2 linked regions of the Lonchura striata genome follow. The protein of the gene in region 1 binds, or shares a complex with, the protein of each later gene. Links are inferred from orthologs where the notes say so. Each region holds a gene or a part of one and is shown on either strand. Other genes may lie near its edges.

The links.
Region 2: ODAD4 (region 1) and CLXN share a complex: the UniProt entries of both Homo sapiens proteins name them as parts of the outer dynein arm-docking complex. The link is inferred for Lonchura striata from reciprocal best matches to the Homo sapiens genes ODAD4 and CLXN.

The regions. Positions count from the first base shown.
Region 1 is NC_134627.1:6,548,038-6,563,929, reverse strand, and holds the start of ODAD4 (outer dynein arm-docking complex subunit 4), read left to right. Parts: upstream 1-8,075; 5' UTR 8,076-8,163; coding exon 8,164-8,271; intron 8,272-8,623; coding exon 8,624-8,755; intron 8,756-9,019; coding exon 9,020-9,173; intron 9,174-11,343; coding exon 11,344-11,405; intron 11,406-12,077; coding exon 12,078-12,234; intron 12,235-12,990; coding exon 12,991-13,215; intron 13,216-14,365; coding exon 14,366-14,573; intron 14,574-15,892. Other genes in the region: ACLY (ATP-citrate synthase), read right to left, coding at 406-564. UniProt on the Homo sapiens protein: Component of the outer dynein arm-docking complex (ODA-DC) that mediates outer dynein arms (ODA) binding onto the doublet microtubule. Plays an essential role for the assembly of ODA-DC and for the docking of ODA in ciliary axoneme.
Region 2 is NC_134603.1:133,577,320-133,593,005, reverse strand, and holds CLXN (calaxin), read right to left. Parts: upstream 7,385-15,686; 5' UTR 7,370-7,384; coding exon 7,312-7,369; intron 7,086-7,311; coding exon 6,930-7,085; intron 5,453-6,929; coding exon 5,348-5,452; intron 4,387-5,347; coding exon 4,235-4,386; intron 3,438-4,234; coding exon 3,333-3,437; intron 2,758-3,332; coding exon 2,710-2,757; 3' UTR 2,539-2,709; downstream 1-2,538. Other genes in the region: RBM48 (RNA-binding protein 48), read left to right, coding at 699-1,234, 2,221-2,304; protein FAM133B, read right to left, coding at 9,994-10,080, 11,591-11,635, 11,914-12,009, 13,617-13,664, 14,826-14,921, 15,516-15,584. UniProt on the Homo sapiens protein: Component of the outer dynein arm-docking complex (ODA-DC) that mediates outer dynein arms (ODA) binding onto the doublet microtubule. Seems to regulate the assembly of both ODAs and their axonemal docking complex onto ciliary microtubules.

The sequences.
Region 1 (15,892 bases):
GCACTGAAAAAATTTTAAGAAGGAAGTTTTCCCTGACATCTTGCTTGGATTCGAGAAAACTAAGCAGTGTCCTAACTTTACATTAAAGCCAGACATGGAGAGAGGAGAACAAAGATTATTTCAGCGAGCAAGGCTTTGAGAATAGGAACTGACACTTCTGTCTGAATCAACCTTCAAACTTCTGTGCAGTTATGAGCAACTGGTGCACAGCTATCTCTGCTCCTGTATTTCACAGTCTTAAATCAGCCCCCCACGAAGTGATCCTGAGCCTTGAAGCAAGGCTTGTTTCTTCATCAGGGTGGGAGTGACTGTGACAGAGCAGCAGCAGCAACCAGTCCTTCAGGAAGGGTCTGGAGCAGTGCTCAGGTGCTCCAGGAAGGCAAATCCTGCTGTCCCTGCCCTTACCTCGCTCAGGAGCCACGGGTGGTCCTGGGTGAGCCGTGCCCAGTCCGTGGCGGGGGTGACCCGGGCATACTTGAAGCGGTTCTGGATGGCAGAGGACGTGCAGATGTACTTGTACAAAAACTCCTTCCCCGTCTGCTCAGAGATGGCTTTGGCTGACATGGCTACCTAGTCTGGATGGGGAAAAAAACAAAAATCCATCAGGAACAGAGCCCTGCTCCGGCAAAGAACTCTGCATCACTCAGCTCAACACAAACCCAAAGCAAAGCAAAGTCTCCCCATTACGTGTGAGATCATAAAACTCATCTGATAAGCAAGAACTACTCATATTGCTTAAAACTCCTACCCTGTTCCCCTGCCATGCACACTATTTTCATCCAGCCCTGTCTGCAGGGAAAGGCAGAATCCCCGCAGCTTGTCCCAGCCACCACCAAGCCTTTCCCAAATCCAGAGCTTGGAGCATCCCCTCCCATCCAGGGCAGTGCTGAGCTCTCTCCAATGTTGCAGCACCCCAGGATTGCTCCTGGTGCAACCCACCTACCCCTTTTCCTGGTGCATTTCCAGGGAGGGATCCTCTCCCTCCTACTCACTTCTCTAAGGCATCCCATATTCCCAGTCAAGCCTGACTGTGGGCATGTCAGCAATCCCCATCCCTTTTCTAAAGGGAAAAGAAAACACTGCCAGGATTACCAAAACTAGAATAGGTTTGCATCACTGTTTTTTCTTGTTTCAGAACCAGCTTTCTTGGAAAGAGTTTTACGTCTAACAGAATAAGATGTTCAAGACAACAATAAAAAAGATTAAGTTTAGACAGTTTGTTTTGTTTTTTGAGTTTTTTTTTAAGAAAAATTCCTAATTCTGTCCCTTTCTATGGACAGTTTTCTTCTCTTTTCAGGTATATTCCAAACTGATATAAGCAAATGATTTCTGGCCTCAAGAGTGTAACTAATTCTTTTTGATATGCAACAAAAGAGTCATAGGTGTCAAAGATCCATTTATTTTTAGCTGCCATAAACACTTCTTTAAAAGAATACTTCATCCCAGTGACCCTGTCTGCATGTGTCACACATCAGAACTGAGTGCTGTGATCAGCCAGCAGGTTTGGTGTGTCTGGGGGGTCAGACTGTTGTCAGGGAGGCTCAAGCAGCAGCTCCTCCTGCATTTTGAGTGACCAGGGTCGTGTCACTGTTTCCCAAGCACTGTCAGTGTGGCAGGAAGCAAAAGCACTCTTGGGATAGATTCAGGGAGAGCTGCTCCAACACAAAAAAGAGGAGTTCAGATTCCATCTGAGCACCTGGACTACCTGCCCTCACAAAACACATACCCCACAGAGAGAAACAGTTAACAAATTCCAGCTATTTCTTGTGCTGCCTTCTGGGTAATAACCATTAGTAATCAGCTGGGCTATTCATCCTATAAGCAAACACAGAATAGGCAGAGATTAACTTTCCATAATTCGAAATAAAGAACCTTTCTACCTAGAGCAGAAAGGAGGAGGTGGGTCCATCCCAACTCCTACTCCATAGTAGGAGGGAGGTTGCATTCCCTGAACTTCCAACACCAAACAGGTTAGACTAAATGCTATTACTGAAAGCTGATAACTGTACTTAAGGACCAGCAGACAACTGTGCCACTGCCATATTTTCAAATGCAATTCCAGGGTTGAAAATCACAAAGGCAAAGCTACAGCAAAGGCAAAAAAACAAAGAACAGCAAGCCCACTTTCAAAGAGTTCTGATGTAAAACCTGAACAGGATTGCAGCACAGCTTCCAATTAAATCCCATTTCAAAACAGGACCGGGCAATGTTTCTGCAGCACCCCATCTTTCATCAGACTCAACCCCCACCCTGCCCCTAGAAACACTTGCCCCTAGCTGTCTGCTGAAACAGCCCCTGTCAGTTATTAGCCTGTTGGCAAAGCCAAGGTGGCCTGACAAGAGAGGAGCTCTTGTGAGCAGCCAGAGGACACCAAACCCCAAACCAACCACCCAGCCTGACCCTGCAGGCACACACAGACACACTCCCACAAGCACCACACCACTGCCCAGCCTCACAGCTGCACACACACGTCTCATCTGTGCTGCAGAGCCTAAAACTTCCCACTGGAATTTGGACTTTAAGCAGAGCTATTTCTGAGAGCAAACCTGCTCCCACTATATATACCTGCAGCCACCATTTGTTCTGCCTGAGAGGGAGCTGCAATATTCCGGCTTCAAGCCCCTCGAAATCCATCAACTCCACAATCTGCTCAGGGAAACAGTGTCACATCTCACTGCAGCAGAAGCAGATGGGTAAACGAAAATGGCAAACATATTTCTTTAAGAAATCTAAGTATTTGTCATTTCTCCAGGGTGTCACGGATCCTCTGAACAGCACTGCAGAACTTCAATCCACAATTAGAAATTAAACCACTCAGGCAGATGCTGGTTATGCCAACAAATACCCTGCAACTGCAGGACACTGGAGCCAGAGTGTCTCAGGTCTTATTAAGAATAGTCCTGCAAAAAACCTCAGTGGGAACGAGTGACATGCATGAGATTCCTTAAACTTGAGGGATACAAAGCAGAGCTGCTCCCCTCTCAGAACCATTTCTGGTCTTTTCTATGTTGCTCCATTCTGCTGCTCTCCTGGTTTCCCTCACAACTTCATCACCTCATTTTTGCACTAACACTACTGGGGTAAAGAAAGGAAACTACAAAATTCTTACAATAGCAGTAGATGAAAAATAACATCCTTGTGTCATGGCAACAGAACAGCAGGAATTTTGCTGTTCTGACCTTATCTGCATTAGCAAGTCTTTAATCACACCCCTCACTCAGTTTTTCCACTGTTCTAACCCTGCCTTTCTCGTGGGACAGAGAGCACAAAGCAATTGCTTCAGTCTGCTGAACTGTTAAACTAAGAGATCAGCAGGAAAATAATCCATAGGGCATCAGCAATTCCTGGCTGTGTGTGTGTGTGCTCTTGCAGGGCCATCAGAGCAGGTCCATTAACTCACTGCATCTGTTCTGCTAACACCAAGCAGGGGCACAGACTCATGTCACTACAGAGGCAGAGGAACTCAATCTCCTCAGTTTTCCAGGAATGAGACGGGGTCAAACTCTCATCTGGCAGAATTAATCTTATTTTCAGTCATGTTTAGCACCTGCAGTGCTGGGGAGAGGAGTGGCTGCACCTCTGAAGATAAACCCGGGGAAAATGTCCCTTTCTCTGCCCAAATCACAAGCTGTGGGATAACAACATTCTCTTCCACTGCTGTGTTCAGCATTCATTAGCCAAGACTGATCTGCAATTTTCTCAGCACTTCGGGCCCCAGACCTTGCACCCACCACACACAAGGTTAGATTCATGTCAGCAGGACAAGTACCACAGATTTTGATAAATTATTTGTGTTCATTTAGTGAGGCTCCAACCCAAAAAGCTTCCCTGCAACACCTCAGAGACCTTTCTCTCATCATCCATACCCACCAATTCAAAAAGAGCTGAATTCCAACCTTTGCTAGCAAGTAAGAGACATGGATTAGATCATATTTTCAGGAGCTCAGCAGCACTTATTCCCTCAAAACATCACCTATCAAACACATGCAAATAAGTTGATGTTTGGGGAAAGTTTACTGAGTGTTTTGACAGAGAAAATCAGCAGGATGGTGGCAAGCAGGCAAGAGTTGAGCTGGATGTTGTGTTTGCTGTGAAACAACTGATACATCTGTCCCAATATACCAGCAACCAGCTGAAGGGTGTATGCAACAAATCCAAAGGAAACACGGATGGAGAAACAGGGAGAAACAGGGAGGCACTCCTGACACAGAACTCAGGTGAAGTCTCCCTGACTCCCAGGAGATCAGTGATGTGGCACTGCTCAGTGTGACACAGTCTGCTCTGCAAGGGGAGAAAAAGTATTACAGACATTGATTTAGTTTGTTTTCCTTCTAACCAGAAGAGGTGCAATTCAGCTTCACCAATGTGCATTCACAAATAATGTGGTGCTCACACATGGAATTCTCCGAGATCTGGATTGGCACTGTGCTCCAATTGTACCTGAACAACACTTCAGACCAGGAGGAAAGGACTCCCTCTCCAGTGAAGACTTGACACCCACTCTCCCAAGAACTGTGTCAACAAACCCACACCATAAACAGCCTCTCCCCTCCATTCTGGGTAATTTATTAACACAGTTCAAGCTAAGCCAGTATTTTCAGCCCATGGCAGCATGAAAAGTTACATCAGCTTCCACCTGGCAGACCCATGTGTTTCGTCAGAGGATGGTGAGGGCTCGGTGTTCAGCCAACGTGAGGTCATGGTCCCCCAGCTGTGGTTGGGAAATGCTGTGTGGGGTGATACAAACAGGTGCTGCATGCCCAGCTCCGGGGGAGGCTCCCTGCACACACAGAATCTCTGAGAGAAACACGGCAGCCAGGGAGGAGCACAGACCATGGACCTGTGGCTAACGGAGAGCAGCACACAGGCTCCCCACACCTGGTGGGCACCCAGTGCTACAAGGAGGGAATTTAGGAATGCTGTCATTAAAAATTATCTTCTGCAGCTTTGAGGGCTCCTTAACAAGCTTACTCCTTAAATCACTTGAACTGTGTATGGCAGTAAAGCGCTCCCTGGCCACCATGGCTGGGCAGGACTTCCAACTGTGGCTGCCCTTGCTTGGGAACCACTTCAGGCAGTGCTGGAACCGTGGGAAGAGTCCTGATGCCTGGAGAGAGCTGCAGAGTCTCATATGCAGGAAACCCAACAGGGTTTGGGCAGCAGCACTGGACAGTACCAGCAGAGCTGATACTCTGAGCTCCAAACCCAGGCAGGAAGCAGAAAGAGTACAGACATCAGAAAGAGTACAGACACCTACAGACAGGAGAGCCAGGGTGCAGCTCAGCTTTCAGCCTGCAGACAACAAACTGCTCAACAGAGAGAAAGGAGAGTCTGTAGAGCAGGATGAGAATTTCGAAAGCAGCAGGGCAAACAGGAGGTGTTTACAAGCAGCAAACAGGACAGCTGGAACACAGCCGACTGTGCTGGGAAGGCAGCGACACGCGGGCTGCGCACACCGCTGCTCGCACGGGAACGGCGCGGCCCCCGCGCGGGGCTGCTCCTCCGGGACGGCCACGAAGGGATTTTCCGCGTGGCAAGGGAGGCAAGTCCGAGGCCCGCTTGGACCAGGGCGAAAAACGCGTCAAGCCGGCCCCTTCCCCAGCCCCGTGGTAATCTCTGCGCTGTCACCACCGCGCACCGTCCCCGGCCACCGGGACCGAGCGGGGCAGCAGCTCCGCCGCCGGGAGCCGCGGGAGGAGCGGCGGCGGCGCCCGCAAGGTCAGGGGCGGCGGCGGGAGAGAGGGGCTCCCTCCGGGCAGCACCGGGCCGGCCGCTGCCGCGGGCACACCCGCTCCGTCAGCGGCGCTGCGGCCGCTCCCGGGGCTCGCCCGCCCCGCCGCGAGCTACGGGAGCCGGGGCCGGCCCGAGCCGGCGCGGCTCCCGCCTCAGACGCGTGGGCGCCGCGGCAGCGCCGGCAGAGGCCCCGCCACGTGCCGGGCGGAGCGCGGCGCTGCCGCCGCCGCAGCACTCACCTCACAGCCCCGCTCGGCCGCTCCCGCCGCGCTCCGCTGCCGCTCCGGCCCCGCTCGCGCCGCCGCCGCCGCCTTTTGTTCGCGGAGCGCGGCCTCCCCGGCCCATCGGGCTACGGCCGCCGCCGCCGCCCATTGGCCGCCGCCGCTACCACGTGCGCGTTGCCTGAGCGCCCGCCGCGCTCCCATTGGCCGCCGCCGGTGGGGTGCGCCCGCGTAGCCTTGTGGGAGTCGTAGTTCCGGCACCCTCGCCCCGCCCCCGGCGGACCCGCGGCCGTGACCCCCCACGCCGGACCCGCCGCCGGTGACGTCACAGAACACGATGACGTCAACGCGCCCACCGGTACCGGCGGCGGGAACGGGGCTCCTTCCCCAGCGCCGGGACATGCCGGGAAACCTCCCACGGGCGGTGCCTCGTGGTACCCACGCGGGAGTGGCGGCATTGCCACAGCCGGGTCGCCGGTACCGCAGCGAGGCGAGACCGCCGTGATGCTCACGCACCGTCCCGCAGCACCGGGAGCGTCCTGCCCCTGCGCTGCTCCGTTTCCTGACAGGCTCTCGGGGCAGCCGCCACGGCTCTCCGGTTCCCGGGAGCGGCCGCCCACGCTCGCTTTTCCCCGGGGCTCCCAGCCCGTGACTAACGCGGTCATCAGCGGGAGCACCCGGCGCGGCCAACAGGCGGCCTTGTCCCTGTGGAAAACGCCCAATCACTTGTTCTAAAATTTTAAAAGTTTAAAAGTAACAAAATAGTTATACAAAGAGTAATAAAATTTAGAGCAGTAATAATTTGGACAGTTAGAGTTAGGACAATAAAGGACAATAAAAAGCAAAGAAACTCTGCCACAGAAACATGCCTTGCTAACAAATAATTGACCCTTAAAAGTAATAGCCTGTTGCATATTCATATATCTCATACATTATTCAAAATTCTTTTCAAAGGATTTCTTCTGCTTAGTTTCGACTCCCTCCTTCATATTGTAAACCAATTGTGTTGGTCCTTTGAAGTCTGAGTCTTCTTGATAAGGAGGCAATAATTCTTTTCTGGAGACCTTAGTGTCTTGTTGCTGTTATCTCTTAATTTCTTCATTATCTTATCCATTCCTTGAGCTACTTGCAAAAATTATCTTACATCGCCTAGTTTCTATTTTAATATTATGCTATAGCTTAAAACCATATTTAAAGGAGATTAATACAGCATGACTTTCCAACATAGCACATATAGTATTAATTTTGAGATTTGCGAATCATCTAATATGCATTTTTCAGTCCCGACGTGGTGGCTGTGGTGTCCCCACGCCGATGTCACCCACCGAGCTGGGCACAGCCCTGCCGCAGCCCTCACCAACACAGCTCGGGGACGGCGGTGCCAGCGGGGGAAAATCCCCCGGCAAACGTTACCGGGCGCTCGATCCCGCCGCAATTCCGCGCCCGGCTCCCCGGGGCCGGGGTGTGGCAGCCCGGCCGCCACTCCGGAGCTCGGCAGTGCGTGTCTCCCCACCCTGGCGTGACCCCCGGCCCGCCTCCCGGCCCGGTGGCGGCCGGCCAGCGGCGCCGGGCCAGGGCCGGGCTCGGGCGGTGCCGAGCGCGGCGGGAGCCGGGCCGAGCCGGGCGGTGCCGTTCAATGCCGCCGGTTCCGAGCGGGACCGGTGCCCTCCCCCCGCCCTTCCTCTGAGCCGCTTGGCAGGAACAAAGTGTTTCGAGCACAAATCTTGGCGCAGAGTCTGAGCCAGCGCCAAAATGAAGTGGGGACCGGAGCGCTGATGGGAGCGAAGCGGCAGAATTTGCCGTTCGGCTTTTATCCGGCCGGGATTACCGCCCGCAGCGGTGAAACCGGGGCCAGCGGCGAGCACCAAACCAGCACCGAATAAACGACGGGAGGGAGGCGGTGGCTGCCCTCCGGTTGCCCTGCGAACGGCTGGGGCCGAGGAACCGGCTCTGCCCGGTGGCACCGCGGCTGTGCGGAGCGGCCGCGCTCCCGCCCCTCCCGGTCGTGCCGGTGGAAGAGCAGAACCCCACGGGCACGGAGACGGGTCGGGTCAGAGGCACAGTGAGCGCCGGGAGCGGGGCCGGGGCCGCCGGGGCCGCCGGCAGCCCACGCGGGCACCGGCCGGTTCGTCACTCCCGGGGCGGGGCGAGCACCGGGAGCGGGCGGTGCCCGGTACGCGTTGCTCGGCAACGGCGGCGCCGCGCAGCCATGGCGGGCGAGGAGCTGCCCGTGGTCTCCTTCGGGAGCCTCATGACCGAGGGCACGACCCTGGCCCGGCGCGGCCAGCACGACAAAGCTCTGGGCTGCTTCAATGACGTGAGGGCGCCGCGGGCACCGGGGGCAGCGGCGGGGATGCGGTTCGGTTCAGGCGGGGGGACCCGCAAGAGGCGGGGACACCGAGGGACGTGTCCCCGGGAGGGCTCGGCACGGGGGGTGACCCTGCACGGGGCAGTGCAGGGACAGGGCAGCGCCTGCAGCGCAAAAACGAGAGAAAACTCTTCAGTAAAATCCTTGTGGTTTTATCCTCATCCATCATCAAGATCCACGTGGGAACCGTGGCATCGAATACCTACGCTTGTGTGTTTGTGGCGTTGAGGCAGCACAGGTGACATTTCCGTGTGTGGTGACATGTCCAGCACTGGTGACGTGTCTGTGTCTGTGGTTCCAGGCACTGAAGCTGAGAGCAGGAGACAAGCACTGCCTTATCACCCGCTCCAAGTGCTTTCTGAAACTTGGAGACACCGAAAACTCCTTGAAAGATGCTGAAGCCTCGCTCCAAATTGACAATACGTTCTCTGAGGTAACCAGCTGAAGGGGGAGGAGGGGGATGGCCGAGAGCTGGCCTGGATCTGTGAGACCCTGCAGGGTCTGGGGCAGAGCTGTGAGGAAACTCCAGTCACTCCTGAGATTTCTGCTGCTCTCAGAGCTGTTGAGGTGCTCGGGCACCTCCAGGTCTGGCCTTTAACAGAGGCAAGTTGTTATACGCGTGCCTGACAGGAGTTACTTGAGATCCAGCAAAATTTCCCCTCATTTTATCAATTTCTTTCCCCAAATGTGGTTTTAGGGGCTTTACCAGAAAGCAGAGACGCTGTACACCATGGGGGACTTTGAGTTCGCGCTGGTGTTTTACCACCGAGGCCGAAGGCTCCGCCCCGACCTGCAGAAGTTCCAGCTGGGCATCAACAAGGCTGAGGAGGCCATTATCAACTGCATTGGGAGTAAGAAGTGTCGCTTTCTGACCCCCATGAGCCTGGACAATGCTGTTCAGGGCACGGCTGATGGCAAATCAGCTCTGCAAGTGACCCAAGAGCCCCAGAGCAGAGCCTCTCTCTGCTTCTGGCCTCGTGTTCTTTGTGGCAGACAAATCCAGGCAGCCCCACAAAGAGCCAGCCCTGCTCTTTTTTCCTTTTGTTCTTTCTTTCTCCCCTGAACACCTGTTCACACACAGGACCTGATCCCTTGAGTTGTGTAGGTAAATTCCCACACTCCAGTTTCCAAAATCATCATGGAAACTTTCCAGAGAATACGGACCAGAGCAGCTCATCTCATCCATGAGAGATTAGATGAGAGCAGCTCAGTACATGAGGGGAGCTGAGAGGGAAGTTGGAGACACTATTTACAAGGGCCTGGAGTGCCAGGACAAAGGGGAATGGCTTCCCTCTGCCAGAGGGCAGAGATGGATGAGATGTTGGGGAGGAATTCTCCCCTGTGAAGGTGGGGAGGCCCTGGCAGAGGTTGCCCAGAGAAGCTGTGGCTGCCCCATCCCTGGAAGTGTCCAGGGCCAGGCTGGAAGGGCTTGGAGCACCCTGGGATAGTGGAAGATGTCCCTGCCCATGGGAGGTGCAATTCTAGGGGATGGAACTGCATGAGCTCTAAAGTCCCTTCCTATCTAAACCATTCTGGGATTTCATGATTCTATGATCTACCTCCAGCACTAATTACAGAATCCATTTTGAGACCTTTATCCCTGTATTCCAAGCTTGGAATGCAATATGCCACGCTACCTCAGACTGGCCTCCTGAAATCCTGACTCTCCTCCAGTTTTCATTGCAAAAGAGCAGTGAAACTGTTGACTCTTGCAACCAGCTCTGCTTTCACCACTCCTGGCTCAGATCACTGAGCAGGTCCTGGAGAGACAAGAAAGGCCAAGGACCTCGTGGGCTTTAAAACAAACAGAAAACTCTTTTCACTTAGTTTTTCTCTCAGCCGTGCCAGCAGGCATGGACAGGACGTGTCCGACTGTGGGGCACGGACACACCTCACCTGGGGCTGCCACTGCTGACATGTGAGTGGAACACGTGTGCAGGGCTCCTCTGGGGCTGCCAAACCTGTGGGGTGGGTTGGAGCCTGTCCCTGCCCAGCACCTGGCACGCCCCTCTCACACCCTACACAGATTCCCAGGTAGGCCAGGGCCTCCCTCTCCAAAATTTCAAAACTTCAGCCCTCCCCCAGTGCCAGGGTTTAACACGTGCCAGTGGCACCAGAGCCTGCAGCACTTTCATATAGGATAGTTATTTAAAAAACAGGGAAGCTTTCCAAATCTGGCTTGCTTTCCTCCATTCCTGCTGCTTCCTGAGCTTAGCACAATGCTGAGATATTATCACAGCTCCAGCTGAAATCTTCCCAGCTCAATATCCCGAGGCAAGAGCTCTAACCACCTTTGGATCCCCTAGGCTGCAGGCACAAAAATGAATTAAAAAAGTAGAAAACTCTTCTTTTCAATCAGTCAGTAGCTGTGAGATGCAGGGAAACATAAAAACAAGCCAGCGTGGATCTGGATGTTTGAACAGTTGGGAAATGCACACACATGAACAGGGTACATCCCCAGGCTGCTTCCCTGGCTCTGCCTCCCCTGCATGGATGGGAACACCTGCCCCTGTGACCTGCCTGTGTTTGTGCTGCTGGTCTGGGCCCCAGGGCTGCCAAAGGGAATTCTGCAGCAGCTCAGAAGCTCTGTCCTTCCCTCAGACCAAACAAAGAACTGTTCCTCTCTCTTCCTTCCCAGGGTGCATGGTGGTACTGGGGTCAACTGAAAACACAATGGGCCTTTTGCCCTAATGAGTGCACAAACCTTTAAAATACCTTTCCTTCCATCTCATGCTCCAGCTGTGATCCCCTAGAAGAACCTGCATCCTTCTCCTTCAGTTTCCATGCAGGATGTACCCTGTCTGTAGGAATATTGCAACAGCAGCCCCCGGTGCTGTGTGAATTGAAACCCCAAGAGGAGCTGGTGGACAAGCTGCATTCCCTGCTCCCAGAACACACCAACACCCCCTATTCCATGGGAAAGGATTAGAAAACGTTGGGGTGAAACGGAACGTTTTGGGCTTGGCACCTTTTTTGGGCATTTTACTGGCAGCACTAACACTGACCCCTCTGTGTCTGCAGATCCATCCTCGGTGAAGCTGGAGGGCAAGGAGGAGCTGTGCTTTGTGAGCAGGCAGGCAGAGGTACAGCACGGGGCTCTTGCTGGACAACTTCTGGAGTTGTTGGAATGCTGAAATGGGCACCAGAGGAGTGACAGTCCCTGCAGGGACACGGCTGTGGGAGCAGGGGGCCTGCTGAAGGGTCTCTTGAGCTTTAAAACACACTGGCCTGTCATGAGAGTATTTGTCACCTGCTTCTAATGCAGGTCTGGCTCAAGGCACCCAGAATTTAAAGGGGAAGGCAGAAGGGCAGGAAGAGCCACCATGCAGGAACAAAACCTGGCATTTCTCCTCCAGCCCATCTCTGGGGTATGCCAGCCACCCATCTAATGAGTAACACCCCAGAGGTCAAAGAGTGCACAGTGAGCTCCAGTATTGACTTTGGGTTTACCTGATGTTTAAAGGTCACAGTTTTCATAATGGACACTTTCTTTATTGCTTCACTTTTGGATGCTCCGTTGCAGTAGTGTCTTATTCCTCTGAGAAGCCAGAACTAGTTCTTACCCTTTCTGTAATACCCTTGTGGTCCCCAGGGAGCACAACTGGCTGCAGAATTTCAGTTGCTCATGGCCAAAGCAGCTGGTGAGACACTTTCTGCTTTTATTTTAAAAAGATGTCTTATATGGAGTATAAGCAGAATTCTCATTCCAGTGTTCCCCACTGAAGTCCCCCATCTCCTTTTGTTTTTTTTTCTAGCTGCAGAGCAAAAAAGCCAGCCAGAAACAGCAAAACAAACCAAAGGATCAAAAGGATCAAAAACAGACAAAGAAGAAGAGTCCAAAAACAGAGCAACAGCTTCTGGGACAGCTTTATGCTGACAAGGCATACCTGGAGAAATTGCTCAAGGATGAAGGTGTTTCTCCTTCTCAGCAGATTCTATTTTTTTTCACCCCTTTTTTTTCTTCTTTATTTATTTTCTTCTTTTAAATCCATGTGACTCTTCGTTAGTTGTACCAGAGCTCACATAGCACATGGTGCTCACAGTGGTGGGGACACAGATATCTGCTCATGGGGCTGTGACTCTTCTGTGCCTTTGTTATAAATGCTGTTAAGGTCAAGATGCAGGAATGGGACAACAGTCTTATTTTAGAAAAAGGCACAAAGGTGATGCTCCTTAATTTGTATTTCTAGGGCACTTTTCACCCTGAAATAAAGAAGTGATTAAGATTTGGTTTACTCACAGGTTTTACAGTGTTGCCAGCACTAATTATACATGTGGGCGGTCTGGTTTGCAGGTAAAAGCCCTCTCAGTTTCCATCTGCCAGCCTGATCCACAGCACTGCTCAAAATGCTCTGTCAATACAGATGTGCCATACAGGTGTTCTGTCCCAGAGGACAGGTGCTCAGCACAGCTGGCCCCACTTACTGGGCCCCGTCCTGGCTTTAATCAGCAGATATGAGGCTGGAACACCAGCTCAGCTCACTGAACTACAAGAGTAACAGATTTTTTTTTTAGCTGCCCCATCATCTCAACTCTGGGGAGCACGGGACACTTTCATTTCCAGGACTGACTGTGTCAGAACAGAAAAACGTTCCAAATGAATTCCCCACTGAGCTGCAGCTCAGCTCTGTTGATTCTCACTTGGGTTCTACCTTCTCTTATTTCCAGACTTGATGCAGAGCAGCACAAGGCAGGGGATGAAAGTCATGGACCTGGTTTTGAGTGGCATCTCCTACCTGAACCAGCGGCGGGATTTCTGGCAGCAGCAGAAGCCGATTTACGCGCGGGTGTACGAGCGCAAGCTCCTGCGGCAGCGCCGGGCGCGCGGCAGGAAGGAGAAACCAGCCGACATTGCCAGGGCCATCGCAAAGGATATGGAGGACATCGAGCTCTGTAGGTTCCTGGCTGCAAAAGCTGAGTGCCTCCCACTGCTCTGGAGAGCTCGAGCTATTCCTGAGCTCTGCCTGAGGGTTTGACACTTCACCAGGTCTCAATTCCCAAGTATCACAGAATCCCGAGAGGGTTTGGGTTGGTGTCAGAATCTGAGGTATTGATGATTCCAAGATTGTAGAAAGTCTCTGTCTTTCTGCCCTGTTGCCATAGAAGAAACCATAATTCGTCTGTGTTGGTTTTCAAAGTTGTTTATTCTGGTTTATCTCTAACATGTTCTGCTGCCCTGCCCAGCTCTGTCCTGCAGGGCAGCGTGTGGGGCTCTGCCCTCAGTGGGATGTTACAAACATTAAATACCAGAAACTCCCTGTGCTATATTTACAATATTATACACCAGAAACTACCTGTGCTATATTTACAATAACGTGCCAATATCTGTCGCCTAGGTTGAACAGTGTGTCCCCAGCCTAAACCCAGTCCCCAGTTTCTGGTATATGTTACAAACATTATATACCACAAACTACCTGTGCTATGTTTACAATAACGTGCCAATGTAACATCCCTCAGTGGGATGTTACAGACATTATACACCAGAAACTCCCTGGGCTGGATTTACAAGAACGTGCCAATATCTGTCACCTACGTTGGACAGTGTGTCCCCAGCCTGAACCAACAGAAAAATGCCAAGACCACAGTGAGACATGGAGGGCATGAAGAAGGAGAAAAAGGACAAGGCACACCCAATTTCCTCCATCTTGTCCCCTTTGGACCCCTCATCTAGAATCCTAAAATTTTACTTTTGCACCTGTGCCACATCTAATTATTACTTCTATCAAACACTCAGAGCTTGTGATTCTTCCTGTAAGATTGAAAACTCTTTTCCATGGACAGAGATCACAGCCAATGTCTCTGGGGGCTCTGTCCAGGGGGGTTCCTGACCCTCTGTCCTGACCTCTGGACAGAGCCAGAGGGAAGCCCTGGGCTCCCACAGGTTGGAAGGAACCTTGAAGTTCATCCCGTTCCATCCCTCCTACCATGGACAGGGACACCTTCCACTATCCCAGGTTGCTCCAAGCCCCATCCAGCCTGGTCTGGAATACTCCCAGGGATGGGGAATTCACAACTTCTCAATGTCTCTGCTCCCTGTCCCCAGCACTGGCCAGAGGTTCTGCTGAGGAGAGCTGCAGGAAAGCTGAGCGTTTGCTGAAAAAGATACAAGCGTGGTCAGAGGATGAAGTTCCCAACAAGAATGAACTGATTGGGAACCTCCACAGCTGCATTGGGAATGCACAGTTGGCACTGGGACAGATGGAGGCAGCTCTGCGCAGCCACAAGATGGATCTGGATTGTGCCAGGCAGCAGTAAGTTCTGGGAAGTTCAGGTGGGTGGAGAAAGGGGAAAATGCCTCTGTGGGGGTGTTTTAGCATTAGGTAATGTAATTCTCACCTGGGGGGTTTAATAGCGTTACACATTCAGCTCTGCCTGAGTATTGGGGTCTGTGGTGACTTTTTATCTTCACTATTTCAAAACAAGGTGCCTGAATCAGATTTTTAAGGGCCCACAGCACAGGACACATCAGAACCTCTTCTGTAGCAAAGCAAAAGAACACAAGTCCCAGTTTCAGCACTTTAATCTTGAGCAGGTACTTTCTTCTCAGGAAGACCTGGGTTGAAATTGCTCCAGTTTTCTGCTACATTTTGTCTTAAACTTCTTTTCATAGAGACTATTAAGCATGGCTGGAAATAAAGGTCTCTTCCAGGTGCACTTACCTGTCTGCAGCACACACGGCTCTTCCAGCTGAACCACAGGGAGCAAAATGTAGTCTTAGATTTAGCAAGAGTTTGCAAAGCATAGCAGAAATCATGGCTTTAAGTGATTCATGTTTTGCAGTAGTCACTGAGCTTTTCAAACATCACTGAGTGGTTGTTTCTTATTGTAGTAGGGCATCCCCAGTGTGGGGATAATTAGCATTGTCTCCATGATTCTAGAATGCTGATAAATTGTTTTATTATACTATACTATACTATACTTATTCAGAAACTCATCGCCCTTGCAGACAGTCCAATACATACTAGATTAATCCTTGAATTTAAAACACCTATCATTATTAGCTAATTAAGAAATCACCCTTTAGTGAACAAATCTTCAAAACACATCCCACGTGTTCACAACAAGTACAACAAGTGAAAATAAGATTTGTTCCTCATTCTTTTCTCTAATCATCTCACAACCTTCCCTAGGACAATGCCTGGGAAATCTGTGTGCCTCGCTTTGTAGCTAGAGAGCTGCAGCCACAATTTCTCATTTTCAAAAACCCTTTTGGAAATGAATGTTGGTTTAGGAAAAGGAGCGGCGGGGACGGGCGGGCTGCGCCCTCGGGCGGCCGCAGCTGGGGACGCTGCTAATGACTCATTAATGACTCGCGTTAATGACCCCGTGACGGGGCTTTGAGCTCGGATCCTTACGGTCCCTTCCCACCCGAACCGGTCTGTGATTCACGAGTCCCATCCTATGCTCCCCGCACAAAGCTTTCTGTCTCTAAGGTAAAGGCAGGCAAAGCTGCTTCTGAAGATGAGAATGAGGATAATTAAGAAAAAGAATTAAAGCCCACAGGGTTTGTTATTGCAGAAAGAGCTGCCTGTCGCATGGAGCAAAGCTTGGTCCAAGCACAGGGTCAGAC
Region 2 (15,686 bases), on another chromosome or scaffold:
TGTAGAGAACTATATCCTTTTCAAAGTATTTTTTTGGCTTTGATTAAGACGAAAATAATGAAATTATTAAGCTTTAATAATTAAGTATTTCCTTCATTTTTTGTTTTCTTTCAAAGTGCTACCAGAAATTTAAAGCGCTGGCAGGAAATTTGGGATCACACTTTTACCTTTGTTCCAGCCTCCTCAGGCATGCCAAAGGGAGAGTTTTGGAATGAATATGACTATACCAGAACCTTCAAAAAATTTCTCCAGCCTACATCTTTGCACTGGGGGAATGTTAAGAATGGACTGTGTTTACAAAGACTCCTGTACCACAGAGTTCCCAGGCAGTGCTGAAGGCTGGGAAAGCTGAGGAATAAGCAAATTGCTGAGCACAAACTTCTCCTTTCCTGCGCTCACATACTTGGGTATCATTATTTATTGTGTGAGGATTTCTAAAGGGAGTAAACCCACTGATTTTTAACATCAAAACACCTGGGGTTTTTCAATGTTATAAACCAGCAAAGGCACTAGACTGGAAAACTGGTTTGAAAGTTGAATTTGTTATATTTTAAGCTTGAAAATAATCACAGAAAGGTAGCTGGGAATCAAATATCACTGGTATTGTTCTTGCATTTATATCAAAAGTTTTGTCCTTGGGTGTTAGAACTAATAATGACATGAAATAGTGAAGGTGTTTCTTTGTTGTTGTTTTAAAGATTGCTTTGTGTTAAAGAAAGTAGAAGGCCCCAAGAAGACAGCCTCAAAGAACTCTGAGCATGACTGTTCATGGAGTACATCAGGATCAAGTATAGCCAGTAACTGGGATTCATCCTGCTTTACAAGTCATCCTGGGGTATCCCACAACACAGCATATCCATCTGAGAATCAGAATCAGAGCCTGTTAACATCTCCACACTATGATAACAATTGTGCTGAAATTTCTGGGTACTTTGGTCAAAACACATCTTTAACTCCAAGTGTACATCCAGGAGTGTACACTCCACCAGCTCCCTTAATGCAGCAAAGAATGGTTCCAGCTTGCAATGGAATTGACAGGTTTATGCCTCGTACAACTCACCTACAAGAACGTAAGAGGAAGAGAGAAGAAGGTAACAAGTTTTCCCTCATTGGAACAAGTGAGGACAATACTGAAATTGTTATTGGTCCACAACTACCAGAAATACCTAAAGTGGATATGGATGATGAGTCTTTGAATACTTCGGCTACATTAATTCGAAATAAGATGAAAGAGGTATGGGTTCTTAAAGTTCTGATAGTTCAAACATAGGTGCTTGTTATCTATAAAAACAGTGATAAAATATCTGAGAGCTTTATTCAGCATTTACTCATTATCAGTTTATCTGCCACTTAAAGCTGGTGCTCTTACTATTTAACTTTTCCACAATCTAGAATATTGCAGGCAATTCTACTCCAGACCTCTTACACTACACTTGAGAAAGTGTAAATGTCAGTGCATGTTCTTACGTGATTTTCAGTAAACTACTTTTATTTCCTCCACATGTGAAGGCATGATAATTTTGTAGGTAGTCCTGCTGACTCCAGTGTGCTACTTGTATCTCATTTCTGAAAGGAAAATAATGGAAGTCAGAGTTCAATGTTGTTTTGCTCCAACACTTCTTATGCCATTAAAAGCACTACAGAATCGCTAATTCCATGCTGAGAAGCATGTGTTAAACTATATATCCTTTTATTGAGGATATTAATCAGCAGGTCAAACATTTAATTTACATTAAGATATGAAAAAGCTCCCTTGACTAACTAGATCGATTTGAAAGTGCATATCTCATAAACAAGCACTCTTTATATTAAATACCTTTCTAAAATATGTGTCAAAATACATGTTTTTGCTTTCCCTTTGTTTCCTGAAATACCTGAGTTTATAAAGCACATTAAACCTTGCTTTAAAACACCTGTTAGGAAGAAGGGAAATGACATACATAATATTATATCACTGACTATCTGAAATCAGTTTGTGTAGTTAAATACAAAAATGGTAGGGCAGAATCTCCTAAGTTTCACTTCTGTTGTGTTTAATGCTGACTTTGATGCTACTTTCTTCCTCTAGTCAGCAGGAAAACTCAATGCAAGTGTATTACAAGTGATGATAGTAATAAATCCTTCCGAATACCCAAACCTTGGATATGTGGCCTTTCTCTAAAATGAGCATAAAAAAAGTAATGGTTACAGGTTGCTAATATCTTTTCCCCTCCAATTTAGGTAGCATATTCTGTTTCAACGTCTGTGGAAAAACCAGAGAGCAGCTCAGCCAAACCAGTTGTAAAGCAGAGAAGAAGAATATAGATACTGCTGGCAGTATCTTTTAACAGTCCTTTTGTAAAGAATATATTTAAAATATGTATTTTTTAATGTAAAAAATAAAACTTTCTTATACTCTATTTCCCAGTGATTACCTGTTAAAACTGTGTCATTTTGTTACTTGGAATGAAGAAACCAAATATACTGTATTATTGTTGCAGTGTTGCCCTGTGTACCTCATATTGTAATATATTTTACATAACTCACAGAAGAACTCTGTTTAGGTAGAGTTACAGAAGTAAATTAATTTATTCAATAGCTTTAACAGCAAAGGAAGATTGAAGCTTAGGAGCAACTTGAAAGATGACTGTTTTTACTATATCACAAAGAGTGGTGAAGATGAAGACCCCTTTTAACAGTATTCATCAGTGGAGTTACAACTTGGAGTTTCTATTTAGGAACTTTCCGGAAAATTTTCTGTTCAAATGACATACTGCTCTGTTAAAAAAAAAAAAAAAAAAAAAAAAAAAAAAAAAAAAAGTTAATTTTCAGTTAACTAAAGGATTTCTATTTAGTCAGAAAAGGTACTGAACTGAAATGTGTATGCAGTGAAGACTGACTCTCGCTTTTTAGCTTAGAAAAGGTAAATCCATAGCATTAATGGTATCATCACTAGCAGACCAGCTAGAATATTCAAAGTTATAGTTGAAGGAGAAATTAAAATTTTAACTGCTCAGCAGTCGGGGTGTGTCCCAAGGAATGATCTGGCATTAAGGGCCAGAAGAAGGCCCAGCTGCAGAATGAGATAAACTGGATGAAAACAGGAATGCTAGAGACTGGGATGACAATGTACAGGACTGAAATTTCCCTTAGTGATGAGATGAATACCTGCAGCAGTGTGCTGTAACAACCCTGGAGTGGGAGTGCTCAGGGACCACCTTTGGATAGCAGAACTGGCACTGAGAGGATGAACTCCACATTGGCCTAAGATACCCTGACATTCACAGGATTGATGCAAGTGTCTGTAAGGAATTGGCTTATGCAGTTTTTTTTTGAACTCGAGGTTAATGTACCTTTATGTCTGGCAAACATGGTCCAAAGGCTTCTAAGAGAAGGTTTTCATCTCTGACTGCTTGTTCAAAGTCCGTAAAAGAAAGCTTGCCATCGTGATCATAGTCCTGCAAAAGGAAGGGACCACTTCAGCAAAGGATTATTACTTGTAGTTTTGTTTAACAGGTGTTCAAAGAACATGGATTCTATTTTTAGTTAGATTTGCAAATTGGGGGTCATCAGTTTATGCTCAGAAAAGATTTGTGACTTGCCTCTAAGGCAAAAAGGGTGGGATTGAAAAATTGAAAAGATGGTCTTAAATAAAAAAGGAGTTGGGATGCAAAACCTGGTTTGAAGTGAAAATTTTTGACCACCATGAAAGAGAGTATATATCTTGATTTGATTAAAGTACTGACAGACTATCCCCAGATGCTCTGATATTCTAGATTAAGCACTCTAAGACAAGCTTCACATTAATAACCTTGAGTTTACTATTCTAATAGAATACATACAAATAAATAGGATAAAGACATTACATTTATAAAACACAAATATACTTTAAAATTAAGCTACTGCAGATGCTGGTACTGATGGAATAAATGCAGCTTACACTTCTAAGTTTTCCACTTCTGACTGGGCTCTTGCTTTGACTGGGCATGCATAGATGTATAGGCCATACATACATGCTAGTTTATACATAAAGTTTATAGTACATTCACATACTAAATTAATGATTTCATATGAGAATACTGGACTGGGACTCATTAGATCTCATATATTTCTGGCTTTCCTCAGGAGACTTGCAGAATCCTTCTGTAAATAATATAATAAAATAAGATACCTTATTTTGTTACTTCATAGAAAGGTTTTAAGTATTGGTTAGTGAATCTTTGAAAGACCCTCAAGTATCACAACAAGTACTTGCCATTTTCTTTAGTGCTATCTCTACCAAGTCCTTAACTCCCTCATCAGGCTCTTCATTTGCTGGTTGTATGAGAAGGCTGTGTTTCAGCATTTGAAACATTTCCTCTTTTGAAATGTATCCATCACCATTCAGGTCATAAACAGCAAAACAGTCTTTTGAAATACAAATAAATAGGAAGTTGATTACAAACTATAATCACGTACCATTCAAACTGTAGACCTATAGACAGAAAATTACCTATAGACAGAGCTGCCCATTATCAACTGAGCCAAATTTATTACATATTCTGAAACACTCCTGGCAAACACTTGTGACAGACAGCACTACATCACTATGCACTAGTATATTCTATAGTGCTTACAGCAGGAATGCATGTTTTACTGTTTGTGGTTGTACTGACACACTGAATTACAACCTGGGCACACATCCTAATGCTGTGACACCCCTGACCACTTTCCAGATGAATTTATCTAATGCAGCAGGAATGGCTAATGCTGTAACCTAGGAACTATGGAAACAACATGCTGTCATTCTCATTTTTCTATTGTTTTTCTTCACTCCACTTGCCCTATTTTTTTCCCTGCTGCTTAAAATTCTAGAGTTCTTGCTATTTTTTCTCTTCCATCTTTCTCTGTCATTACTGTGGAGGTTCTCATTACCATCTTACAGTTTTTCCATCTCTGCTTCCAATCTGAAGAACTGCTGGAGCTAGTGTGCCAGTAAATGAATGTTGGCTCTGGTCTTGCTTGGCTTGAGACTGTTAATTAGCCAAAAGCACACTAGAGATTCATCTGCTTCTTTATAATTTTGTGTGTGAATACAAAAACATGTATTTTTTCCAGAAGTGTATGCTGTAGAATAAACTTCAGTTTAAATGCAAGATTTTGTAAGCAACAAAAAAAGGTGGTGGCTGTGGTAACAGTAGTTAACACAGAAAAAAACTGTCTCAGAGAAGCCATTTCAGAACTCAGTTCCATTGCATTAAACGATACAGAAGAAAACTTTTCAATTACCAAATACTTTATAAGAGTAACTACTAAATTACAACAAAAGCAATGTGTTGTTATTAATTCAATCATTACTACTAAATATTAGCATACAGATCAATCTTACATTTCATCTTCTCTTCCAGGGTCCCCCGAAGTAACACTGCTAAGCCTTCCACCCATTCCACCACAGTGATGAAGCCAGTGTTGTCTTTATCAAAAATGCTGAACACTAAGAAGTGTATTGGACACATTTCAAATTTATATGATAAGGAAACACAAAAAAACCCAATGTTTTCTTAAACTCAGTAAAATTATAAATTATCTTTCTTCTTAAGATGCTTATCTGCTTTCACCAAGGTAAGATTACCGTTCTTGACTCTAAGATGTAACAATGAAAGGGATTCTGCCCCTCAGTTTACTGATCTTCCACTCCAGAATTCTGCCTGGTAAGATTTGTCCAATCTGTTGCCTTCCTGACTTAACAACTACAGGAACTATGCTTCCATGCAGATGGAAAGCAAATAAACCAATATCCTTTAAAATAAGGGATAATTCTGCATACATATTAAGATTTAAATAACTATGTTTTGTCTTGGAAAATCTTGGACAAAATAATCCTAGAAATTATATGTATTAAATCTACAAAGAAAAATAACCTTTTTTCTGTCATATAACAATATATTTTTCTTCTCCCTTCCCTAAGCAACTTTCACAGCTTCACTATTAATACAGCCTGTAATACAGTAATTCAAAACCAAGGAGTTCAAAGCATCCACCAGCATCTGTAATAAATTGTATTTTAGAATATTAATTAGTAAATTGGCTGAAGGAACATCTCCCCATGCAGAGCCAAGCATTTTTGACTTTGAAGACAATAGGTTTGCTTCTGTGAACTGTAATCAGCCCCTTTGTGTGTAAGCATTCAAGTAATTTTTAAGAATGTGTAAGGTTATGTGAGGTATCTTCCAAGACACACTTGACTTGCTGCATAAAATTGCAACAAGTTTTTATTTTATGGCATGTAAGTAGCTCTCTTGCTAGAGACATGGAGAAAGTTGAACCAAGGGGTGGCTCTCGGCAGCCCAAGACTGAAAGAAGGGCAGACTCATGCCTGCTCTGCATACTCCTCTAGACATCGCTACATCCGAGATCATTCCTTCAGCTTTCACAGTGACTGCAAACATGCCCCTTGTTACAATCTGTGAAATCACTGTATTTTCACGGGGTGATTTGTCTCATTACTCTCACTTCCTAGTACTACCTGCCCAGGCCCTTCAATGCTGCTCACAAAGCCTCTATTCCCAGCGTTACCCACTGTATCAGAATGCCTTCCTGGGACTCCCCGCCCTGAGCTACAGCTGTCGCCCAGCAGCGACCGCAGCTCCCGGGGAAACCACCGGAGAAAAGAAAGTGACGCTGCCCCCTTCGGTCACGACACTACAGAGGCTGCGACAGAAACAGCCACAGGGCAGCCAAGGGCCTCTGCCTGCTCTGCCCGAGCCAGAGCGTGAGCTCTCCTGAACTAAGGGAAAACCGTGACGCATAAAGAAAGAAAATGTGCCATTTTCTCAACAGCTCCCGAGGATTACTCCTCCTTTGCCGTCCCGGCCGGGAGGTGACGATGCTGTTTGGTACGGACACGCTCGTCGGGTCGGCAGCGTCATCCCGACCGCTCCCACGGCGCCCAGAGCCGCGTGCCCGCTCACCTCGGTCCAGCACCACGTCATCCGTCATGCCGAAGGCGTTGTACAGCGTGTCTCGGAACACGGTGCGGTCGAAGCCGGCCCCAGCAAACTGGCTGCTGGCCTTGGCCACCAGCGTGTCGAAGAGCTTGACCAGACATTCCACTTCGCTTTTGGTAACTGCCCGGCCCAAACACAAACACAGGTTGTAAGTTAAGCTGGTCAAACACGAGGCAGGCACAGGAACACGCCAGGACCACGATAGCAATAATCACCCCCCGCCCCGGCCCCAGACGCTGTTCCTAAGGGAGCGCCGGTGGAGTGCCTCCCACGGGGGACGAGCAGAGCCACCCAGGATGGGCACGGGAACAAGGCGGGGCGGCTCCTGCAGCCCGGGGGGACTCACAGTGCTTGGCGGATCGGGTCAGCGAGTCCACCAGGAGCTTTGCCCCCTTCCTGCTCATGGCGGCCGGGAGCCGCTGCCGCTGCCCTGGCAACGCGGGGGGACGGCCGCGGCCGGGCGGTGCCGCTCGGCCGCACGGGCGGGTCACACAGAAACACGCAGGTAGAACAGAGATCGAGTCTTAATACGCATTCAAAAAAACTGCAGCAGTCAAAAATAAAATAATTGCATTTTAAGTATCTAAAAACGTTTGTGGGGAAAAAAGAGCTAAAAGTTACAACATACAACAGTGCTTGTTCATCTACTGTCAGAAGGCAAGAATATATTAAACCACTCTTATTCCAACATTGCCTATTTTCTACTTTGTCCCTCTGCTGAAACTTGGAACATGGGTGTAGGTGCCACCCCAAACCCCCATCACTGTCTCACGACCTCGACGTGGGCACATCGGGAAAGCTGAAAGGCTGAGACCAGCCTCCACCTTTCCTTCAGGAAAAAGGGCACGCAGGAGCAGACTCCACCTATTTGTTAACGCATTGCAAACTGAAGCAGTTCCCTTTCAGTACTAAAGCAGCTTTGTTGGCAACTGACAAAGCCCATAAGCCCCTTAAGCGGCCACACCCCTTCCCAAGCATGACAGCCGCACTCCAAGCCTACAGCTGAGCAGAACAGATAGTTACAGTCACACAATTAAAATTACATACCGGCTTAGGTATTTGGAAGACTGGGTCTCATTTCCATTTTTATTTCTTTCTGTGGCAGGTGGTTGCGTAAAAGTCAAATAAGGTATTACACAGGACAGAGCATTTATGCTACGGTTCATTACAGGTTCTTTTACCAAAACTGCAATACCACAACTTAAAAAGAAAACAACCCCAACAAAACTACGTACAAACCCCAAACCAAACCCCTCTGTTCACTGCAAATCACCTTTATTTTAACCTCACTGACAAGAGTGTCTAGAATGGGTAACATCAAGCCCAAGAGTATAAAATAGTTGATGAAGATATTACTATTGTTTAGATGCACATTGCTGCAACTCAATGGTTGTATTCTCCCAAGAACTTGAAGACAATTTCTCTGTACACAATATGAAATCACCTTTTCCCACAGATTTTAGTTATTGTTTGCAGACTAATAATCAATGTCTTCAAAGTCCTGAAATTCTTGGCAACACATTTGAAACATCCATATGCAACAGAGGTAAGTTCTAAGTTAGCACCTGTGCAATGGAAAAGAGGGGTAGATCAAAAATACAATCTATATTTGACTACACCTGGGATGGATGGGCATTTGTTAAAGGCTAACAGAAGGCCCAGCAATTAATATTTCAATGGAAGATGTAGTGAGAATTTAATGTAAACTAAAATCAAATGGTTGCTCATGTTTTCTTGTGGCAACATTTAATTTAAAAAAAGCTTCTTTTCAGTTATCTAAAGCAACTAAAGTAAAGTAAAACAGCTTTATGAGTTAGGTCAACATTCTGTAGCCCTCAAGTACAAAAATATAAATACAAACTGTTTAAACAGTATCTTAATGAGATTCTGGCAGTAGTTTTTTATCTAACAAGACGCATCACGTAACAGATCTGCCACTGAACTTGATCAGAGTAAAATCAGCTTCAATATGAAGCTGTTAAGGTATCAAAACCCTGCTTTTTACATGCTAAATAACTTCAGCAAGTGTGCACTTAAACACAGCAATGAACTTAACTATAACTACATACATGAAAATCTGCATGTGAAATGTAATTCATAAAACTGGTTACAACAAATGATTACCTGCATTTTGTTAATTTAAAAATGGTACAAATCATGCAAAACAATTCTAAAGATAATGCAAAGAAAGCTACCAGTGTTTGCAAGAAGTTTTCAATTAAACCAAAATTACATTGAATGAAATACAGATATTTACTAGCAAAGGTCTATCACTATTTTGAAAAAGCAGAGGTAAAATCTTCAGGTTTTGAATGTCAGTTGTACTGCAAAATGTCATTGCTCTTGCTTAATGCAGAAGCACATGCTTGGAAGCTCAAAACTGCTCATTCAGAAAAGTCTGCTGACAATAGCTCTAGCTTCCCAGGAATGCAGAGATGCATGGATTGAAAGTAGCAAAGATTTGCAAGAATCAAAGGCAAAGGCACCCTATTCAGGTAGCCAAAATGGTAGCATTCTCTTTCTCATAAGCATAGAGATAATAATGGGGCAGATGATCCACATTTCAACTAGGCAGCCTTTTAAATATTATCGTTCATTTTCCATTAGTAGACACCAGCTTGTAGTAGTTTATGCATAATATTAACCTGCAGGATGAACTTGGGATTTAATTTGTCCTGATTTACAAATAAAACCTTTTACTAATGCTTTAAAAGACTATTTTTACTATCTAAAAAGTTTAACTCCTATTTTCCAATATTTTACACCTCAGCTGGCCTACCACCTCATCTCAAACATCTAACACTGCTTACTGGAATCTTATCAGAGTTGTACCTCCATGTATTAAGCAGCAGGCAGTAACAATGGTCTTTCCCAGCACAGCTGCATCTGGCTGGCTACTGAAGGATTAGGAATAGTTTTAAAACACAGGAAAACTCATGCAGTTTGGTAAAGTTTGCTGTCATTTCACAGTTTAAGTTTCCTTTAGTCATTGCACTTCTGTTGATAGGCTCCGGTTGTTTTAAAATATTTATTCTGAATCTGAATTGGAACCAGCAGTCTTCTTTTTCTTCTTTTTACCATGTTTCTTGTGCTTCTTTCTCTTTTTTGTTTTATCCTAAAAAAAAAAGAAGTTTTTCTATAATACAATTGCCATCAGTTATATTCTGCTAATGCAAAATGAGAACCAAGAATGGGTATCTTTTGAAAGACATTTCAAAGAGATTTCTACAGAAGCCTATTGAGAAATCACAAAAAGAAATACTTTACCCAACAATTTGGGCTATTATGAGCAGTCTTTAATTCAAATTTAAATCTCAGCCATGGTATGGCTATTTTACACTTCTGATCACTGTCACTATTACATTTCCTAATATTTTAAATTATTTTCAGAGCATTATAGATTACTGAGAAAGTAATAAGGAAGTGTTGACCAGCAGTGACAGATTTGGGAATAACTAGGATGTTTATATATTTTAAAGTAAGTACTTAAATTCACTGTGTAAAATGATATAGCTCAACTGCACTTGGCTAGACTATCACTTGTACCTTGTTTAAAATAAAAGAATTATGATCTCAACTGGAAATATAAACACACTCAAATTGACCCTACTGGATTCAGTCCTAAAGGTAGTACGCTGATCACTGTAATAAAGAAGCTAAAAGATGCAATATTGTCTTTTTGAAAGCAGAATTTCAAATGAAATTCTCATATAGATGTGGCAATGCGTAAATGAAACAATCAGTATTAAAGCTTTGTTTTATACATATTCCTTACACATACAAATCTTTTATGAAAAAGACCATAAGCAATCACTAGAAATGTAATGGCAAATGGTTCCCATGAGTCTGAGAAAAAAAAAAGCAAGTTCCATAGAAAAATGTGTACTGAGTATCACTGATACTTCTCTGCCTGTATTTTCAGGGGACTAATGTAGACCTTCCCTTTGCCCCACCTCATGTGCCTGATAAGGAACACTGCTGCGGACAGGGGAGACAGATACAGAAACATCTAAAGTGGGCATTTAGGATCCCACTGATTGAGGAACCTCAGGTACATGCGGTAAATCTGAATTCCATATAAATCACTGCTGAACCTTCCTTCCAGTCTGACCAACAGATACAAAAAAAAAAATACTGAGAAAAGTAGTAGGTTCCTGGCAGCTTTTTATCTGGTTGGGAAAAGAGTTATAATGGCATAGATGTTGCAGCAATTTTGTCCCAAGGCCCTTTCCATGATGGCAGAGAAGGCTTAGCAAGGAATTACACACAACACTAATGAAGAAACAGCCCTGATGTCTGTCTGTGTAGCAAACTGCTCCCCTACTTGATACCACACAGGTATTAGTACTTCTACGACATCGATACAAAATAAAATATATCCTACAGTAAGTGTTAAAGTTGTAAAAATCTCAAATCACATACAGGTAAAAGAGTGATAGATTCTTCTTTAATTCAACAATTGAAAAAGTGACTTCAGCAAGTAAATAGAGAAATTTTTAATTTAGATGTAACAGTAGACTAATGCTATGAAACATTTGTATCTGTGAAAACCGTTAAACTAGAAATTAACCAAGTACAGAGTATTTATATCCTAAAACTACAGTATGAGTAAGAGGGATACTTGCTGTTTTCTCCTTTTCCTCATTGCTTTTCTTCTTTTTTGCTTGCACCTAAAGAAAATAAAAGCAAATGTAGTATTCATAAAAAGTTGATTCTCAAGAAAATTCATTCGAAATTACTTGTAGGTGATAGAAGCTAGACTAAACAATCCTTAAACTTTTATTTTAAAAGGAAAAATACAAACAACTTTGAGTGCACTGCACTCTTCAACTGTACAGTGCAGAACAGTTTCAACAATGTATTAAATCTGAACTAGTTCACTGATTCGCTCACGAATCAGTACAAGCTACAAGCACTGTAACATCGGAAACTGAGGATTCACACTGACCTCCTCTGCCTGATCTGATTCAGATACAGATTCTGATGATAAAGGTCCATCACCACGATCTGCTTTCTTCCTTTTCCTGTGGTGATTTTTACCTTCCTACACAAAATAATATATTTGTAAGTAAAGACAGACCTTTCACGTTTTATAAAACTTCTGCTTAAAATTGAAGATTGAAATATCACTTTTAAGTTGTGAAATATTTTAAAATTTTATTGACATTAAACGAATTCCATCATCATTATCAAATTACCGTAACTGTTAAAATCAACTTTTAGTGAAAATAATAATTTTCTGTATATTCCTTTTTCTTGTTACCAAGATACAGGAACTGTCTAAATACTAACAGTCTCTTATTTTAAATAATAACACATGGAGCAGTAAGCATTTGAAAATAAAACATTTCACCACTTTTAAGTAACTAGTAACTGAAGATGTCTCAATACATACATACAAACACTTTAGCTTCTGACTCTTGCTTTGTTCATGAAAGAAAAAGTTCCCTCTGTATTTGTGTTGAACCAGGACAAGCTGTCCCTGCGAGCTGTACTTTCAACACATCATATTTCATTCCAGTGCATTTAAAAGAAATTATTTTTAAAATTCTGATGCTGTGTGAGATTGTTCTGATGAGCTACTTTTCTGCTGCCTGCACTTCCTTTGCTCAGGACAAGACTACTACGTGCTCCTAAGACTGAAGGTACTTTCACTCAGTTTCTAAGACCAGAAACTTCTGAAAAGAACTCATGAGCAAGTACACAGGATGCAGCCCATCTGGCACACAGGGGGATCTGCAGGTAGGGGAAGAAAGACCCCTAGTTCTCAAGTGTCCTTTGCTTTCAGAGGATGTGTGAAAGCAGTGCTACAGTAAGGGACCATGGTAGATACTTGGTCTTCAAAGAGAAGCCATTCAAAAGGATGAGATGGGAAATGGACACTAAAATAGAAGCAGGAGCAAAGGGAGAAAAATGAGTACATTTGCTTTAGGTAATGGAGAATTTGTACATCAAAGTCAATACTATTGACCAGAGCAGGAGAGGCCAACATGATAAGAAAGGTAACTGGACAGAAAGACTAGGGTGGACTCTGCAAGCATTTTTAGTTTATCCACAGTGTATGAATAACTACAATTGAAGTCAATTCGATTGTTTATGTTAAAGATAATGGATGAGTGTACAAAATGGTGTGGTGGTGGGCAGGAGAGAATATTTTCATGCTTAGAGAAATGGCAGAATAAGGTCATTTTTCTTAAGCTAATACCTTTTTCTCTGCAATTATTCAAAGCTGTCATAAGTATACTATCTATGACTACATTTAGATGAAGAGATCCTCTGCTTATGTTTCTTCATTTACAGCAACAAGTCAATACCCTACCAGGTGTGCCACTGAAAATATCATCGCACACATTTTTAGCTCAATCTGACAGCTAAAGGTAAACCTCAAAACACTACGGATGCAGCTGATCTTTAATTTACCTATGTAACAAGAACAGATCCATTGGTTTTCACTACAATAATTACTAAACTAGGTGCTGAATCCAACTAAACTTCTACTTCAAACTGGGTTCACTGAATACCTTATGACTGTGTGGGTTTGCACAGAAAATTTCCACAGATGTAAGGTGAGGTATTCAATATTAAAAAAAGAAATATCTATTATGTATGCAACATGCAGTTCTCATCAAAGGATTTCAAGAATAAAAATACCTTCTCTTTTTCACAGTCTTCCTTTGACCTCTTCTTTTTTGTGCTATCCTAAACAGAAAGGAAAACAAATCACAACAAAATAATTTCATTAAAAAGGAAGAAATCTCCAAAGCAGTCTGGCCAACAGTCTTTTTATGTCTGTTGAAAGTAATTCTTCAATATTTGTTCTTTCTACCTTGAAGTTGACAAGAGCAATATAAAAAGCTGTAATTTTGATGCAGCTGCTAATCTCCTGATCCAGCAGCATGGAAAGGTCTGTATGGAATGAGGTAACAGCATCCTTGCAGGACACTTAGCCTATGGGAAGACTACCAGCTATCACAGCTGTAACCACATGTAACATGTAACAGCTGGGAATCTTTTTTCTTTACCCATGTTCATCTCTGCTGATCAGACCAGGTTGCACAGGTATTTTCCCCGAGTTTTTTGCAGTAAGGGTATCTCTGGGTCCATTTATGTAGCGGAAGTTTTTAACCTCCCATTAGCACATATTCATAGATGTCTGCAAACAGTCATTCATTACAATTTATATCCCACCAAATTAGGTATTCCAGTGGAAGCCTGCAATAAAGTCTACACAGAGAATCTTAAAAACTCACTGTATTATTAATATTTAAGCAAGAAGTACGGTAACTATACACTGTAAGACAGAAAAGTGCTAACAGAACAAGCTGCTTTGTGTATCTTCACTTTTTTGTTCATTCAGTAAGACCATGTATCTACATTGCTATACTTCAGAAAAGGAAAAAGACAACTTCAATTTAATAAGCATTTGGGAAAGGCTCAGTTTTCCAACAGGAAAATATTCAGATATTTAGAAAGGCAATGTTCTGGCCACTACAATCCAGCAATACCTGCATTTTCAGATATGGTGTTCAATTAAATTGCATACTCAGAAGACATTTTCAGTGTTAATGAAGTATAAAAACTAAATATTTGAGCAACAAAAAAGCTGCATGTGTCTGAATTCAGAAAAATTACTACAAATTGCTGGAATAAAGTGCGCTCGTTTTCCAATTACTTCCACTAGGCATGTGGCCAGTAGAGGCAGATTCCACACTTCATGTGGAAGACACAAGCGCAGTTCAGGCCCTGTGAGAATACAGTGGAAGATGAAAATCCATATGAATATGTTAAAGTCAGAAATCTTTATGGTTTTATAATACCAACCAAGAAAACTTGCCAAGAGCAACACATCTGTGTATTTACCTTGCTGTCTGACTCAGATTCTGAAGCTGTGCTTGCTGAAGATTTCCGTGAGGAGCGATACTTCTTCTTCCTTCTTTTCTTCCCTTGCTTTTTATCCTATCCATAAATATTGTAGAAAAAGAAAGAAAAACACAAACTTGAATTTATTCTCACTAGAATTAGATTTACATTAAACGTAAAGAAAAGGAAACATCAAATTCCTACATGTTACAATGTTCTCCTGAGGAATAAAGTACACTACAATTGATTTTTTTAGTGGAGGACCTTCATAACTCTTTTGCATTGAAAAAATGCAAGCTGGTGAAAAATCCAGATTCTCTAGATTGTGTTTATTATTTAGATGTATGCTGTAGAATCTGATCACCTGTAACAAAGATTTTTGCTAGAAAGTAGAAATGGTATTTTTGCATTTTTATGATTTGATAGGGGATTCTGTTCGGAAAGCAGTTCAGTGTTAAAATGGATCCAGTTTAAAAGACAGGGTGCCAAAATCTGTAGTGTTCGCACAAAAACTACTGATTGGATACATATGTCTAAAATTCATGACTTTATTATATATATCAAATGCATAAAAACTAAATGCATTTATCCAAATTAGCCCCTCAAAATATTCTATAACATATTATCAAAATATGTATTAAATAGATGTCATGGACAAAACATGATAGGTTCAAGTAGGTTAGCTCTTACCTCATCTTCTGAATCAGATGAACTGCTGGAAGAATCAGAGCTTGATGAAGAAGAGGAAGATGAAGACAACTTGACCAAATACAACAAAAAGTGAAGCTTGTGAGATGCAGCATTTTGTCTGGCAAATACTCAAAAGCCTATTCAAACACTCCCTTTAAAATGTCTTCATTT